Saccharomyces cerevisiae S288C: one gene and its partner. The protein of the gene in region 1 interacts with the protein of each later gene in a biochemical or structural test. Each region holds a gene or a part of one and is shown on either strand. Other genes may lie near its edges.

The links. The genes of interacting proteins can lie anywhere in the genome.
Region 2: of the proteins of MEC1 (region 1) and RAD53, one has a biochemical effect on the other in vitro, tested with the Saccharomyces cerevisiae proteins (10 studies listed by BioGRID).

Annotation. Positions count from the first base shown.
Region 1 is NC_001134.8:503,657-507,414, reverse strand, and holds the start of MEC1 (protein kinase MEC1), read right to left. Parts: upstream 1,748-3,758; coding exon 1-1,747. Other genes in the region: cyclin-dependent protein kinase regulatory subunit CKS1, read right to left, coding at 2,109-2,561; HSL7 (protein arginine N-methyltransferase), read left to right, coding at 3,128-3,758. UniProt on the Saccharomyces cerevisiae protein: Serine/threonine protein kinase which activates checkpoint signaling upon genotoxic stresses such as ionizing radiation (IR), ultraviolet light (UV), or DNA replication stalling, thereby acting as a DNA damage sensor.
Region 2 is NC_001148.4:262,400-266,157, reverse strand, and holds the start of RAD53 (serine/threonine/tyrosine protein kinase RAD53), read left to right. Parts: upstream 1-1,965; coding exon 1,966-3,758. Other genes in the region: peptidylprolyl isomerase RRD2, read right to left, coding at 54-1,130; YPL152W-A (uncharacterized protein), read right to left, coding at 1,458-1,556. UniProt on the Saccharomyces cerevisiae protein: Controls S-phase checkpoint as well as G1 and G2 DNA damage checkpoints. Phosphorylates proteins on serine, threonine, and tyrosine. Prevents entry into anaphase and mitotic exit after DNA damage via regulation of the Polo kinase CDC5.

The DNA of each region.
Region 1 (3,758 bases):
ATCTGTTAGAATTCATAAAGCACTTTTGTACCAGTTTAAAGCTCTTATTGATTTGACCGTTTCCATCTGTAAGTTTTGGAGGTTGAAAGTGTGAAAATATCCTATGTAGAGAAAATAAGATGCCACTTAACAAAGATTCGCTAAATTCATCTATATTTGGGTGAGATAGAAAGTTTGAATGAAGTATCCTGAAGATTTCTGATTTACCCGCAGCCTCTGGTCTATTTGGATTTATTCGCACGAAAGGGTTGCCAGTTTTCTCAATATCGCATAAATGACAAACATACCAATTATCCATATCCTTTGTGGAATTTGGCAGAGTGCCGGAAAACTTCTCTGATTCTAGACAGGCTAGACGTCCGAGAATTACAGTCCATGATGTTAGCCTTGTTATATTGTTTGTCTTGAAACAAGTTTGAATGGATACAGATGCTTCATTTAAAATTAGCTTGAAATCGTTTCCAGCTCTTTGAAAAAATCCAGGACTTAGCTGGTTCACGCGGTATTTGAGCAAAGTTCCTCTTTCTGTCTTGTTAAACTTCTTTAGTACTAGCAACCTTAGCTTTTCCAGCTGCTTATATCGATCATCAAAGGGAGAAGTGACATTTTTCAAGCTCGAGTCCGGCTCCGATTGGTATACCCAGATGTTGAACTTATTATCGTACTTTAAAGCTTCAACAGGTAGGGACCTTCTTTTCAAATCAAAATATACAATCGAGAGAGCTTTATTAGTCAACTGCGTGAACGGAAAATGTTCACTTTGTGAAAAATCTGCCCACTGGTCAATTGGGAAGTGGTCTACAAAGCATTTTGAGAAATCGTTAGAAATGCAAAGAGAATATAGTCGAAGAATTCCTTTGGCCATAGTGGGGTCATTATCCAAGAGCCCATACTTGTTATCCAAAAAATGATGCATAGTAGTCAATACAAACTTTAATTGTTCACAACAAACTAACGCTGGGGCATCCAGGGCTGTGGAAATTGTTCTATTGCAAACATAGTCCACAACTAGAGAAATATATTTGAGTTGGATTTCGGCATATTCTAGTGCTGCTAGTTCGCAGGAATCAAAGACGTAAAGAACAATCCTGATTAATCGTTGGAAGTTAAAGTCAAATTTCGTGAACCCCAAAGAAGAATCTAAGAATGCTATAGAGTTCCCAAAAGTACTATACTCCGAAGTGAACCAGTATAAAAGAATGTATAGACCCTTCAAGGTGTCATAAAATTTGAGAAGCTCAGTCTTGCCCAACAAGACTTCAGTCAAGGCCTGTTCGTAAAGATTCATGGTGTTCTCAAAATGTGCAGTAAGCTGAAACTTAGCAGGTTTTCCGTAAAATTCGACACATGCTTTGCACCAGCTGCCTAATTTTCGCCTCATAAACCATATTCTGTGGTAATTATCATAGTTCAGAACGGATATGTTGAGGAAATCATCTATCAGCCTTTGTATCTCAAAGTTCCCGTTGGAATCCTTCATAACAAGCAAGAAGGGGTTGTACTCCAACAATAAGGCAAGGGCGGAAACTGTTTTCGAAAATATAGTATCATTTTTCATGATATTGTTCCTTCTTTGATCTTTTAGGTTTCTTATGAGGGTGTTCAGGATCTTTAAACTCTTGGCGTACTCCTGAGAAGAAGATGGATCCGTGGGCACTTTTTTAATCTGCACCTTTGAATCCACCCCCGAGTTCAGGTCTTTTATTGCCAATATCAATTCGTCAAGATATTTGACGTGTGATTCCATGCAGTCTTGTGGGCCTTTACGCGGTGTATGTCGTTCTTGTTGTCCAGCCTCACTTTGTCTTCATTAATCATCTCTCTTCAAAATTGTCCGTCGGCGGGTATTTTTTTCTAGTTGACTAGTTTTGGAGCGTGCGTTCCATCTATTTGATTTATAAGGGAAAGAAGAAATTTATTTGAAGGATATTCACTATATAAATTTTATTTGTATTCTAATGCTTGTTGGTGAAAACTATGATCCATAGTTTTTTTTTTTTTTGTTTGCTTGTTTGTTTATTCTTTATTATGATAAGTACATAGTATGCTCCATATAGTTATGGAGCCTTGAAAAGGAATTCAATTTCAGTAATTAGAGTATATCAAAGCTAGGAGATTTGGGGTGGAACTTGCATATCGTTCGAAATCGATTGTGTTTGATGTTGCTGTTGTTGTTGTTGCTGCTGTTGCTGCTGTTGCTGTTGCTGTTGAGCAGCAGCGGTCGCTGCCCTCAGCTCGGCCTCGTAGTTCAGCGGCCTTTTGAATAGCAAAATGTGTGGTTCTGGCGCATGGCATTCATAATGTTCCCACCCCAAAGACTGTGTGATGCCGAGGCCTCTCCATTCGTCTTCTGTTAATATACGCAGGGTCCCCACTTCCGAATTGAAGTAATCAGATGGGATAACTTTTAGCATGGCCTTAGGTAACATCACATGCCTGTACTCATAGTTATCGTCTGAGTACCGCGGAGAATAGTGAATGGAATCTTGAAACTCCAACACGCGTGCTCTTTCTTGGTCAGTAAGCTTTCTGCCTTGGAAGGCGTGATAGTGATGGTACATAGTACTGTAAGACGAGAGTAAGTGCGTGTCAATCTAGTTGTATCCAACGCGGCCAGCAGTTCCAAGAACTTACGACAGAGTTGTAATGAATGCTACTGATGTCTGCTCTACTGCCATCCGCTGTCCTTTCATGCATAAAAGCTCCATTCTTTATTTATCTCATACCACGAGAAAAAAAAATCACCTGACATATTTTTATAACCCGCCTTTTAGACCCTAAAACAGATCTCAGGGCTCGAGTACTGTTTTATCTGAAAATTCTTCGAGCCCTCGTTTTGCACTGAGCTAAACCAAAAGAAAAATAAACAATCACAAATGGAACCCGAAACAGCACGCTGCGCAGTGTTTTTATATTTTTTTGAAACAAATGGCTTTATACAATGTGTATGTGTGATAGAAAAAATGGTATATTTCGAGTGACTTGTGATCCTATTCCCAAGCCCTATAGGAGCTATTTCAAATTGCGTGTGTGAAAGCGTGTGTGTGTGTGTGTGTGTGGAATTGTGCGGACGTTCCTCTTCTTTTATACATATAATTTTTATATATACAAAGGGTTCAGTTTGCATATGCATAGCAACGTATTTGTTGGTGTCAAACCAGGCTTTAATCATAAACAGCACAGCAAAAAGTCACGTTTCCTAGAAAATGTCTCTAGTCATTCACCAGAACTGCCTAGTAACTATGATTACGTTTTGCTTCCTATAACAACGCCAAGATATAAGGAAATAGTTGGGCAAGTTTTCAAAGATTTCCAAAGACAATCCATACAGAACTGGAAACCGCTTCAAATTCCTGAACCGCAGTTGCAGGATATCTGTATACCCCCGTTCAACGTCAAGAAGCTAGACAATGACGATACGCCGTCTTACATAGGGCTGTTATCCTCTTGGCTGGAGCTGGAGAGTCGCGATCCAAATGTAAGAGATCTTGGCTTAAAGGTCCTTCTAAACGAATGTAAGTACGCGAGGTTTGTTGGAATCAATAAGCTAATATTGGCGCCTCCACGGGACCTGTCCAACCTGCAATTGTATGGACAGATGATTTACAGGCTCCTGCAAAATCGCATCGTCTTTGCTGCGCCTGCGTTAACCATATCCATTTCTCTGCCACTTTACGAAGACAGCGATCCATTGGCCACTTGGGAACTGTGGAATACCGTGCGGAAACAATGCGAATATCATCCCTCTTTGACTATCT
Region 2 (3,758 bases), on another chromosome or scaffold:
GTACCCTGTATACGTGTATATACAATGAGATAGCATCTATAAATGGACTTTTCCTAATCAAAAGGTATTGGTTTATGATGTTTTTTATTCATCTCAGTAGCCGCAATAGCGCTCGGTAACTTTATACCACAGCAGTCTCCCCAAGTAGTATGAACATGTCCTTCAAAATTGCACTCATCATCCTTATCAGTCCCATCATGTATGTGGCCTCTTGGTGGAGATACACCATCCGGACAAGGCAAAAACTCGCTAAAGTAAAAATGTTGCATGATGGGCAATTTACTAAGGACTTCGGCTTTATACATTTTTATCATCCCTTCAGCAACTTTTGACCAAGTCTTTACACCGCTGATGTCATCTAGCATAGGAGAATGCCATCTCAAGGAGGCGGATGACTTGACCTTATTAATAAAAGCGATACAACCAAAATATAAGTACCGATGAGCGAACATTTCTACGAGCTCATTATTGTGAATTGATATCGGCTTTAAGTGCTTGTGGGTGGTTAATTGGAAGGCACCAAATAGAAATGGAAGGAAATGATAATCATCTAATCCCCAAACACCATGAGAGCCCGCAGGCTCAAGCCAATATTTAGTTTCTAGTATCCTCATTATTTTAAGGTATTCTATAAAAACTTTCAGCACGAGGTTAGTTGAATCGTTTGAAAGATTGAATATTCCATAACTATAGAGTCCATAAAGTAAACACATGAAATTTAATTCATGACCTGAACCATAATCAATTCTTCTTTTATTTCCCCATGATTCATCTAGATAAATCGATAATTGTTCCAACTGCTCATCTGTGAGAGAGGGAAATTCGGAACGTAAGATCTTCCTGGAATTCCGTGAAACTTCGTCATAAAAGTCCCTAAACTCAACCTTACCAAATCTCGAGCTATCTGCATCCTTTATTACTGGGTGCTTCTGAGTGATATCTTTTATTTGCGAAAGCAAGTTCATCATACTGTTTATTGACTCCGATATTGGTTCTTTGTACTGGGAATTCTCATGTCCTTTGACAGATTCAGCCAAATCTATAATAAATTTAGTGAAATGAGCTCTTGTTGGGGATTCTTCCCATAGTTTCATATCGTCTGGAGTCAATAGTCTCTTTTCTGGCAACATCTTTTTCTAAATATTTATATTGTTCTTTACGGATTGTTGTTTATGGACTGTTCTTTCTGCACAGGCGACTAACATAAAGTACCTCTCTCTTGTCATTGATATCCCTTTTGTTCTATCACATCCGTTAGGATTTTATTCTGTGCTTACTCACGTGAAAGAGAGGGAAGAGTGTAAAAGTTACCCGAAAATCTATTATGGCGGCTATTGTAGTACGTCCAAAACAACGTATTTCAATGTAAATTCAAAGCAAACACTGAGAAAAAACAAAAACTTACTTATTGGTTCGCTCAGCACCTACCTAAATGGTACTTTTAGAATGATACTGTATTATCTACCGTGGTATCGGCAACTATAGGACGGAGATAAAGCATGCCAAAGTAATTCTTCCTTTATTAGATGAGATTTCAGCGTGAGGTGAACCATCATTTGTTTGGTTGGTGCATTAATAGCCTGCTTCCTTTTAATTAAGCCGGAAAGTGTTTGTCACAGATGTCAATGAAACGTGCATCTATTAACATATTTATTTTCATTTCGAGGGTGAGGTGGTGTGGACGCGTTGATACGGCAACGGGAGTGACGCGTAAAATTGGCAGAAAAATCATCACCGTGGGTAGACTTGGAAATGAAAACATTTATAGAATAAAGGTACAGGTTGAGAAGATAAAGGGTACCAAAGTTACCATTTTGAAATCTCTGATCAAGAAAAGGTAAGAAAGCAGAAAAGGACGGTAGAGATTATTGGAAGACAAACTAATTTTGTATATGCATTCGATTTTCTTAAGCTTTAAAAGAGAGAATAGTGAGAAAAGATAGTGTTACACAACATCAACTAAAAATGGAAAATATTACACAACCCACACAGCAATCCACGCAGGCTACTCAAAGGTTTTTGATTGAGAAGTTTTCTCAAGAACAGATCGGCGAAAACATTGTGTGCAGGGTCATTTGTACCACGGGTCAAATTCCCATCCGAGATTTGTCAGCTGATATTTCACAAGTGCTTAAGGAAAAACGATCCATAAAGAAAGTTTGGACATTTGGTAGAAACCCAGCCTGTGACTATCATTTAGGAAACATTTCAAGACTGTCAAATAAGCATTTCCAAATACTACTAGGAGAAGACGGTAACCTTTTATTGAATGACATTTCCACTAATGGGACCTGGTTAAATGGGCAAAAAGTCGAGAAGAACAGCAATCAGTTACTGTCTCAAGGTGATGAAATAACCGTTGGTGTAGGCGTGGAATCAGATATTTTATCTCTGGTCATTTTCATAAACGACAAATTTAAGCAGTGCCTCGAGCAGAACAAAGTTGATCGCATAAGATCTAACCTGAAAAATACCTCTAAAATAGCTTCTCCTGGTCTTACATCATCTACTGCATCATCAATGGTGGCCAACAAGACTGGTATTTTTAAGGATTTTTCGATTATTGACGAAGTGGTGGGCCAGGGTGCATTTGCCACAGTAAAGAAAGCCATTGAAAGAACTACTGGGAAAACATTCGCGGTGAAGATTATAAGTAAACGCAAAGTAATAGGCAATATGGATGGTGTGACAAGAGAGTTAGAAGTATTGCAAAAGCTCAATCATCCAAGGATAGTACGATTGAAAGGATTTTATGAAGATACTGAGAGTTATTATATGGTGATGGAGTTCGTTTCTGGTGGTGACTTAATGGATTTTGTTGCTGCTCATGGTGCGGTTGGAGAAGATGCTGGGAGGGAGATATCCAGGCAGATACTCACAGCAATAAAATACATTCACTCTATGGGCATCAGCCATCGTGACCTAAAGCCCGATAATATTCTTATTGAACAAGACGATCCTGTATTGGTAAAGATAACCGACTTTGGTCTGGCAAAAGTACAAGGAAATGGGTCTTTTATGAAAACCTTCTGTGGCACTTTGGCATATGTGGCACCTGAAGTCATCAGAGGTAAAGATACATCCGTATCTCCTGATGAATACGAAGAAAGGAATGAGTACTCTTCGTTAGTGGATATGTGGTCAATGGGATGTCTTGTGTATGTTATCCTAACGGGCCACTTACCTTTTAGTGGTAGCACACAGGACCAATTATATAAACAGATTGGAAGAGGCTCATATCATGAAGGGCCCCTCAAAGATTTCCGGATATCTGAAGAAGCAAGAGATTTCATAGATTCATTGTTACAGGTGGATCCAAATAATAGGTCGACAGCTGCAAAAGCCTTGAATCATCCCTGGATCAAGATGAGTCCATTGGGCTCACAATCATATGGTGATTTTTCACAAATATCCTTATCACAATCGTTGTCGCAGCAGAAATTATTAGAAAATATGGACGATGCTCAATACGAATTTGTCAAAGCGCAAAGGAAATTACAAATGGAGCAACAACTTCAAGAACAGGATCAGGAAGACCAAGATGGAAAAATTCAAGGATTTAAAATACCCGCACACGCCCCTATTCGATATACACAGCCCAAAAGCATTGAAGCAGAAACTAGAGAACAAAAACTTTTACATTCCAATAATACTGAGAATGTCAAGAGCTCAAAGAAAAAGGGTAATGGTAGGTTTTTAACTTTAAAACCATTGCCTGACAGCATTATTCAAGAAAGCCTGGAGATTCAGCAAGGTGT